Arabidopsis thaliana: one gene and its partner. The protein of the gene in region 2 interacts with the protein of the main gene of each other region in a pairwise test. Each region holds a gene or a part of one and is shown on either strand. Other genes may lie near its edges.

Region 1 (4,488 bases), 7.9 Mb from region 2:
AAGGATAGAAGGAAAAGGAGAGTTTGGTCAGGCGAGATGGAGGTTGGTGTATGCTCCGCAGATCCCAAGTTTACTCTCTGTTGATCCAACTGTGGATCCTCTCAAGTCTCTGGCGAGCAACATATCATTTGGAACGGAAGTTGAAGTGCAGCTCGGAAAACGTCTTCAGGTCAGGCATAAACATTGAAATCTTCTTTCTTCTCCATATGGCCTCATTTTTTTCAAAACCTAACCAAAATAAGCACTCCACGGTTCTTGCTGTCTTTTATCTACAGGCCTCTGTGGTAAGACAGATGAAAGATTCTGAGATGGCAATGCAATGGACACTTATTTACCAGCTCACGAGCCGCTTGCGTGTCCTTCTGCAATCTGCACCTTCCAAACGTTTGCTTTTTGAATACTCTGCTACATCACAAGACTAAATCCTTTTGTCTTCCTCTGTCGGATTCATATGGATATAAGCCGTTTGTTGCAAAGGAAGTGCATTTTGGAATAGCATGGTTTTGGTGACTACCGACAAGAAAAATTATTTTATTATTTGGTCAGTCTTTCTTTGTGCACTTCTTCTGGCCTTTTAGTGGTTAAAAATGTAAAAATTACATTGTAAATGCCTTTTGTTAGGGAATGCATATAAAATGTTTTGCCACTTCATTGACTGATTGGTGCAACAAGAAAGTAATGAAATTTATTATATCCAACAATGGACATGGATGGCTCTTCTGGATACTTCAGTTAAAACTGGAATGTCTTACAAACACTTGCCCAAACAGAACAAAGACAACATCCAAAGATATACACTGAACAGACTAAAGCTTATGGCTTACTAAGAACCTAATTAACACCAAATGCTACAACGGCTTATTGGTTTCATCTAACTATCATTAGCTGCCTCTGCAAGCTTGGCGGAAAATCTAAGCTTCTTGATATTCAATCTTCTTTCCTCAACACATAACGCTTTCCATTCATCACTCAACTCTCTTCTTTTTCCAGTTCCAAGGTTCATCAGCTTCTCAAGCTGCAACTTCTTTTGATAACCACTTAAACCTTGCGACATTACAGCCTCAAATGCATCCTGCACAGCGCATAACTCATCATCATCATCGTCATCATGTCTCTCTTTTCCACCAGTAGTCCCGTTCTCTGTTGTTTTCGCTGCCCCATTCTCATTTACAAGTTCAGTATTAGCCACTTCCTCATGCTCCTTCAACATCTCCTCACTCTCGCTCTCGCTCTGCTGTGCTATTTGAGTAGTCCCGTTATTGTCTCTTATATTCTCTGCACCATTCTCATTAAAGGGTTCCTCATGCTCCTTCAACATCTCCTCCTCGCTCTCGCTCTCGAGCTGCTGTGCTTTCCGAGCAGTCTCGTCGTTGTCTCTTATCTCCTCTGCACCATTCTCATTTAACGTTTCCTCATGCTCCTTTAACATCTCCTCCCCACTCTCGTTCTCCTGTGCTATTCGAGCAGTCCCATTTTCAGCTGCGCCATTTCCGTTTACATCGTGCTCCTTCACCATCTCCTTATCCATACCATCATCATTACCAAATTCACCTTGTCCCCAAATCATCGAAGAAAATCCAAAGGCTTCAGAATCACTAGACCTAGTAAATTTCGGATCATTCCCTTCACTGATTTTCTCCCAATGAACATGAAATCTCCTTTTCAACTTCCTGATCTTACTCAAAACCTGCTCCTTGGAGAATTTCGCAACGATAGAACTTCCGAGGAAACTGTAAAACGCATCCCAATCAATTTTGGGATTGAATCCTGTCTTAGCTCTGTAATCAACTAATCCCTGAGAAATTTCGAATCTGGTTTTGAGAAAATCAGAATGCAAAACCAAATCAAAGTGTAACGGAGAAGATGAATAGAATACCTTTAAGATAGAGAGCTCATCTTCCTCGTTCCAGATCCGGACGATCAACGGCGGACCCAAATTCTTCTTCTTCTTCTTCTTTTTCTTCTTCATAGTCTCTTCGCCTGCTTCTGCTGCGAAGGAAGCAGCAGCACGCTTTGAGGAAGGATTCCGTGGAGATTCTCGATGGGAGAGGGTATCGTCGGAGTTATCACCACCACCACAGGAAGAGAAATCGATCTGCTTCGGAGTCACCATGGTAATTGCTTTACACTTGCTGATTCTAGAGGCATGCAGAGAAACCCTAAATCAGGAAATCATATTAACAAAATTGATCAGTGATTCCCAAATTTTCACGACCTTTAAAAAGTGAAACCCGAGAGAAAAAAAAGCTAGTCTTTCCAAATTTCTGAATCGAGCTGGTCAAAAAATATCATGACTGAAATTTTCTCTGCACTTCTGTTTTATAGTATAATCGATAGGAGTGGATTTTGTTACTTTTGTACTTTTTGTTACAGAAAGGAGCAATATATTAGCGGGCTGCGCAAGCCCATCTTACTAATAAAGTGCCAAATATCGGTGACTGTTGAGAGAAAATCACAAAATTTGGAAAGCAGTGTTGCCTGCAACAGAAAATGCATAACAAACACAAAATTGCTAAGGTGAAACAAAAAACAATTAATATCCTCCTCTGCCATCCTGATGAGACCACCACTCACTACATGGTCTAACCATCGAGCCACCATTTACATGAGTAACCCCAAGAGTCCAGTTAGATTGAGGCTGCCACTCTGGTAGTATATCATTGTCATTATCATTATAACTTTGGTTCCTCAAAGGTTCAGATTTTCCATATTTTTGAATAAGCTCTCTTACAGATACAGACCGGCTTGTCCGGTTCACGACAACATCCCCACTGGAAAAATAGTTAAATTCAGGCAAGTCATCATCTTCATCCCGAGCCATGGTCATTGGGCCAAACCCCGGTGGCACATCATCACCATCGTCATTGTTGACCTGTAGCATGTTACTGTAACGAGAAGTATTATATGTGGTTAACGAAGAACCCTTTTCACGGTGGTTCTTGTGAGAGTTGTTAGATAGTGGTGATTTTTTAAATTGTGTGTCTTCTCCATACAACAACACCTATAAGACCATCATCATTTATAGATTTCAAGAAATCGAGTTGGTTTCTCGGAACAATCTTGTTTAGAATCTCGACAGTTCTCCCACGGGTTGGGCATAGGTATAGCTCAACTCCTGAAGCTGGTTCTGCATAACCCACCCTCCCATCTTTAGCGTATGAATCCACCACCTGTATAGTAACAAAACCAAATGCCCAAATTTCGTTACCAAGTTAGACATTCTACAGATATTTAGGAGTGTTTCAATTTAAATTCGGTTTGGGTTTTCAGTTTGTACAGATTCGCGTTCAGTTTTGATCAAATAAATCATTAATATTCAAATAAATCTCAAGTTTTTTTAATCATCTTTTCGTTTATTTGGATACACAGAATCTTGGTTAACTACCAACGCTCATACCTCGGAAATGTTCTCTTGTTCTGTCTTTGAGCACTCTTCTTTGCAGACGAAACACATAACCTGTAACACGAAAGCAAGGTTTCAGAAGTACCATGATGGATAAACGAGTTCATCACATACATATAGAATCGAGAACAAACAGGTCTTAGTTTTATTGGAATATGGAGGCCTATTCAAGAAACATAAGCTATGCAATTGTTCTGGTGAAAATATTTTTGTAAGTCCATCTATCTCCATTGTGATTCACAGATGTAATGTATTTTTCTCAATCATTCACAAATCAGTATTGGCCGTTAATCTCTCCTCTTCTTTCCTAAATGCTTCTACTTAAGCTTGGTTAAACGTCACAGTTAATAGCTTTTGCAGGGGCTCAAACACAGAATGCGTATATAAAACATGTACATTAATGATAGAGGTAAACGTGTAGACAAATACCATTACAGCACGACTCCTGGAATTTGGGAGCTCTCGAACAAACTTCTCAAATGCATCTAATCTGACTCTACCCTTAATCTCGAGCAAAATAGGCCACTCTTTTGTAGTAGTCTTTTCGCCACTGTGAAGCGTAAAAATCAGGTTGGTAAACATGGTATCAATAACAGCGAAGCCATATTCATTAAAAAAACATTTTATAGAGCTGATAAGCACTAGAATAGTATAGATAAGTAGTAACATGTAGACTAAATAAAGAAAGCTATTCATATATGCAAACCTAAATTTGGAAATGTGGAATAAAAAAAAAATACTGAGATAGGTTTGCTACCACTCATGAAACAATTTATTACAAACCTTCTTAGAATGCCGATGACAGAGCTCACAGTAGAAGGACTCAGCTGGAGCACACCTTCCCATAAACGTTCACCATCAGGTATGAAAACAGATGTAGTTTTGGATTTCAAATCAGAACTAGGCTTTGACGATACTATGTCAGCATCCTCAGCGTTAACAGGTGATGATGCCTTAGCCGTAAGTGGTGACAATGCCTCAGCCTTAACTGGTGATGTACAAAGATCAATATTAGCACTTTCTTTGGGTGATGAAACTAAAACCTCCTCTACATCATTATTATCTGAAACAGAAGGTTTTTTCTC
Region 2 (5,366 bases):
TCTAAGAGGTTTTTTATAAATTTTATTTTTGTTCTTTTCTTTCTTACAGTTTTTGATCGTTAGCCGATTCCACTAATTTAACTTGTTTTCGCATCGTTTTGTAGATCTAATATACAAATTATTAACATTTTCGAAAAATTTTAAAATTTTTGTTTTTTTTTCTTTTTTATGGTTTTTAACTTTTAATTTGGATATTAGATTTACAAAATAAAATAAAAATTAACCGGATTTTGGATCTTGTCATTTGAAGTCGTATGCCGATACCACTAATTCAACTTGTTTTCACAATGTTTTGTAGAATTAATATACAAGTTTCATATTAATATATTTTCAAAAGTTTTAAATTTTTGTTTTTTATTCTTTCATTTTTACAGTTTTTATTTTTAAATTTGAATATTAATTTTTACAAAATGATATGAAAACTAATCGAATTATGGATCATGTCATTTGACCTTTGCATCGTTTTGTGGATTATATACAAGTTATGAATATTTTTTAAAAAAGTTTCATTTTTTTTTCTTTCTTTTTTACGGTTTTCCTCCCCTCATTGTTCTTTTATCAATCTTTGTAATTCCTTTCAAATACAACATTAACAATATACAAAATAGTAGTGAGACGAGACACAAGCAGTTCCTATGACTCGTTACATTCTTGTGTGATCACTATCAGTGTGCAAACGAGCTTTGTCACATCATTAAAAATCGAAACTTGCATCCATTGCAGAAAAAGCTTGTCAACCTAAGATCTCCAAGAAAATAAGGAATGCTTCCATTTGCATCTCCGGCGAATTCACTGTGAATTTTCCACTTGGCTCTGGCCTGCGTTGAAGATGATAGCTTTTTGAAGAAGACGAGGTTTTATGGCTTAAGAGAATATAGCATTCACAAAAGCCTCCGGATCAAAAGGTTGGAGATCTTCTACAGCTTCTCCTACACCGATAAACTTTACGGGAATGCCCAATTCCTCAACCACACTGACCTGCAAGACATGGAGAACCAGTTTCAATGACAGAGCTAATGAAAAATAAGAGCTTTGAATGAGATCAAAAATTTTATGAGATATTTACCACACAGCCTCCTCTAGCAGAGCCATCTAGTTTCGTCAATATCAAACCGGTGATACCAACAACCTGAAAAAAATGTAACCCAGAAACCTCAAGATTTTACGAAGAAATTCTAGTTTGGGGAGCCAGAATCACTAGGTTTAGGTAGTTTCGTATGGTACCTCGTTGAATTCTCTAGCTTGTGGAAGCATGTTCAAACCAGTGTTTCCATCAAGGACAAGTAGGATCTCCTAACAATTCCGTAAAATATTATTTTTAGCTAACGCATGATCGAAATTGGAGACTAACAGAGTGTAATAATATAAGCAAGATAACAGAATAGGATAAGTAAAAAGGCTCACTCACATTAGGTGCACCAGAGACAATCTTGCCCACTGCTTTTTTGCACGCAATCAACTCCTCCATCAAACTGTAATTAGTATGGAGACCTTACATAAAGAGGTGTAATGTTCCTCAGATTCAGTAAAGACGGTACATAAGCATGTTTTTTAAGTCAGCAAGCAAACTCTTGTATGCTTACGTCCAGATGTGTCGCACAGTACAACATCATAACCTTCCTCCTTCCCCCTTTTCACAGCCTTTGAGAGAACTATTCAGAAACAGAACAAACATGTTAAAGTTGTTTGTGCACCAAACACCGATACTGGCAAGCCAAAATAACAATGCATTGGTTTACCCGTGGCTGCTTTAGCCTTGTCTCCTTCAGCCACAACAATCTCACACCCAGTCCTCTCTGCCCATATCTCTAATTGGTCACTTGCTGCTGCTCTAAATGTATCACCTGCTGCCATTAATACCTATGACAAATCATCGCAGGATTGCTGATGAACATACTGATACTCAATTCTATTTCTACCTACCCTGGCAAAATTTCTCATCACCTATTTGAGCAACCACTTTCTAGTCTCAACTCTCAAGAGAAGAACAAAAAGGATCTAGTTTACATGATATCAAACATGAAAGGTGTACCTTAGTTCCTTCATTTTTCAATCTATGAGCCAGCTTTCCTGAAAAACAAAAGCCAGAATCTTTCACATAAATCTTTCTGTGGCTAAGCCAAAGCAAACCAGCTAGTCATTTGAATTCCCACTCTAAAGCATTAATGCCAATTTCCTTACCAAGAGATGTCGTCTTCCCACCTCCGTTCACTCCAACAATCATTATAACAGCTGGTTTCCTGATACACCATAACATATAACCAGACTTAGAACCACAATCTTTCATAACTCCACTTCAACAGAGCAGAGGCGTGAAAGAATAACAAGTAACACAGCTAAATGAAGAGAACCTAAAACCCAATTGAAGCTCTGTCTTGCTGTTTTTCTTAGCCAGCATCTCCAACACACTTTCCTTCAATGCATCCTACACCATTCAGAAGTACAATCAACTAGCTATAAACCCTAATCCCTAACATAACCACAATTTCGTTCAAATCAACCTTAATCTCGCTTCCTGATTTGAGTTTTCCTGACATGATATCCTCTCTTAGCCTCTCCACAATTCTAACAGTAATCTTCGGTCCAAAATCAGAAACCAAAAGCGCCTACATTGAATTATTCCCACTATTAGGTTTCAGGGAAACTCCATTTGCATCTGAAACCCAGAGAATCAACAATAATTCGAATTAAGATGGCTTTAAAATTAAAAAACCTCTTCCAATTCATCAAGAACTCGGTCTGTTTCAGCAAGATTCCAGAAGAGTAAGAGCTCGTCGATGACTGCTAGATTTTCCCTAGTCTTAGAGAATCCGGAGAAAACTTTCTCCACGTCGCTTTTGGCCTTCTCCTTAATCAACCGACCCAGCCGCGTGAAGAATCCGCTCGGTCCGGCCGAGCACCGGAACCGGGTCATTCGTGGACGAAATTCTCCTCTGAGAGGAAATAATCCGATCCGTTCGGAGGAGAACGGCGATATACGTCCGGCGAGAAACGAGAGGTGAGCAGAAGAAGTTGCCATGGCAGTTGTGCTAGAGAATCTGTGTAAGTTACTGACTTACTGGATAATAATCTTTTTTATACGCTGCGTTTTACGTTTCTATTGTTTCCCAATAATGAACCAATCTGCAAAAAAATGAATAATGAAAAACGCAGCGTTAATGCTTAATTTTTTGAAAACTATTAATTATAATTATAAATAAAAAAAATCCTCAAATACAAATTTGTTTTGTATATAATAGATTACGTCTTTTTATATTCTATCTATCTAGATTACAAGTTTTATCAAGGATATGTTAGTAAATTAGTGAGAGAAAATAGTTAATCATCTACAGTTATCATTTTGAAAACTATAATTAGTTTTATTTGTTTATATACTAATTTCTCTTTCAAAGGTATGTTTATATCTTACTTTGAACGATTTTCAAAGATATTGGAAATTTGAAATCATAAGATTTATCCTCAAACGAGCACAACAAGTAACTAGCAATCATTCAGCTACAATCACATCAACTATTTCATTCATTGATGGCGCCATTAAGCTTTGGTACAAAGTATGTATGTTTTAAAACCTACTACTATATTTGATTTCTTTTTCTTTTGCCTCTATTTCCCGTAGATTTCTCAAATGTCCATAGAACGACTTTAAGACTTGATCCAAAGGATGTAAACAAAGTCCAACAACTTCTTCACACGTGATTCAATTTTAACTCAAAAGTGCATTTGTGGCGAATACTAGTTTGACAATTTATATTTTGTTGGCAAACAATTTATAGGACTTCGCCTATTTTGATTATTATATACACCAAATTTGTTTGCTGAGGACGACCAAAAGTGAAGACTCCAAATTTGTTTCCTTAGGTATAACGTTTAACTTATCTTTTTCTCTTATGTTTCGCATTTGTCGTATATTTGGTACACCAACAGCCGAACACATTCATACAAGCGTCATAAACGTGACATAAGCAAAACGATGTCATGAACGATTAGATGGTATGTGGAAAAATGTTACTAAGACAATTTGCTGGTCTGTTTTCTTTAACGAGTACTTGAAATTACATATGCATGTACTACACAGTTATAGTACATACATGTGTTCCACACAAAAAATATAAATAAATCACAATCTTTTTTCCACAGAATTGATAATGTGGGTTGAGTTTTCCCATCAACGGATCGGATCTCTAAATTCAGTGGTTTAGACCTGACTTTATATATACATATCGTGTAAATTACTTTAGATTTTGGTTTGAGAGTCTCTAATTATAAAAGAAAAAACAAGTGGCCGATTATAAATTTCAAATCTGTTGAATTATCTAATTAACAATTTGCTTATTTTAATAAATATTTTTATTATTTTTGTTTTTGGTAGCCATTTTTAAATTCTATCTTCTTATATTAATAAGCACCGAGAAATACTTGGTGATTATTCTAATTTTTTATATTTTTATATGTATTCGGTCAAAATTTATAGATTTTTAACTCTATTACTCTATATTTAATGACTAGTACATGTTCTCCGTTTTTTGAATATCTGAATTGGCATTCTAAAAAAAAACACTTACAATATTCGTAAACCATACCTTGTAAGTTAGAATTAGCAATTCCATTCCCGCTATCCACCAAAAACGGTATAAGAAAGAACTAGTAGATATTGACCTAGATTGACTGTATACTTTTATCAAGTCAACACGACAACATTGTAGAAAAAGTACTACATAGTTGATATGAGTGCCTAATCCATGTGCCATGAAATAACTGGGCAACAAACAACAAATTTCCAGAAACAGTCTGTAATGATTTATTCATCAGTACTGCAAGCTAAGCCCATCGGTCATCTTGGGTCATATGATAATATACATATAATAATATCTCGCAAAAATACATTATAGAGTGAGCGACCACATCGTTGCAGTTTTAAACTATTGTTAAATATATGAACATTTCCACAGCTATTTAGCTTAGCTCACGACACGATGCTGCTGACATATGTAATTTACAATGTATAGCCATGCATGCATGTGTTTGTTGGCCAAGATTTTTCAGTTTTTACCTTTCCCAGCTATTACCTACATCCACTTTGAATTGGGATAAATCACGTAACTACGACTACAATACCAATTTGTATTAATGTAATTAACTGTTACGTCAAAATAATTGATCAAAATTATATATATACGCAAATGTGAGAAAGCGCGGCAGCGGCTCTAGTGTGTTCTGGGACGGTAAGTTGTTCTTCGTGCAATGCCAATGGCCATCACAGCTTTTCGTGTTAACGAGGGGGTTTAATTGCTCCTTAAATGTTTCAATCACTATATGATAAGAGCACGTTTGTTACATTAGTCTCAAAAGTGAAGATATACGATTAA

Evidence for each region.
Region 1: the proteins of CPFTSY (region 2) and AT2G25650 interact in a two-hybrid assay, tested with the Arabidopsis thaliana proteins (one large-scale study listed by BioGRID).

The regions. Positions count from the first base shown.
Region 1 is NC_003071.7:10,912,390-10,916,877, reverse strand, and holds AT2G25650 (DNA-binding storekeeper protein-related transcriptional regulator), read right to left. Parts: upstream 2,368-4,488; 5' UTR 2,114-2,367; coding exon 1,877-2,113; intron 1,796-1,876; coding exon 872-1,795; 3' UTR 662-871; downstream 1-661. Other genes in the region: emb2410 (embryo defective 2410), read left to right, coding at 1-169, 276-422; AT2G25640 (SPOC domain / Transcription elongation factor S-II protein), read right to left, coding at 2,970-3,170, 3,398-3,457, 3,833-3,953, 4,187-4,488. UniProt on the Arabidopsis thaliana protein: Probable transcription factor. May play redundant roles with GEBP and GPL2 in cytokinin responses by regulating the transcript levels of type-A ARR response genes. Involved in stress responses.
Region 2 is NC_003071.7:18,848,901-18,854,266, reverse strand, and holds CPFTSY (signal recognition particle receptor protein, chloroplast (FTSY)), read right to left. Parts: upstream 3,180-5,366; 5' UTR 3,020-3,179; coding exon 2,714-3,019; intron 2,607-2,713; coding exon 2,502-2,606; intron 2,426-2,501; coding exon 2,352-2,425; intron 2,241-2,351; coding exon 2,182-2,240; intron 2,071-2,181; coding exon 2,033-2,070; intron 1,861-2,032; coding exon 1,740-1,860; intron 1,653-1,739; coding exon 1,584-1,652; intron 1,492-1,583; coding exon 1,409-1,491; intron 1,294-1,408; coding exon 1,225-1,293; intron 1,130-1,224; coding exon 1,067-1,129; intron 979-1,066; coding exon 865-978; 3' UTR 526-864; downstream 1-525. UniProt on the Arabidopsis thaliana protein: Signal recognition particle receptor protein. Binds GTP specifically. The GTPase activity is inhibited by the N-terminus of the protein until binding to the thylakoid membrane. Activates the GTPase activity of FFC/cpSRP54 when bound to the cpSRP complex.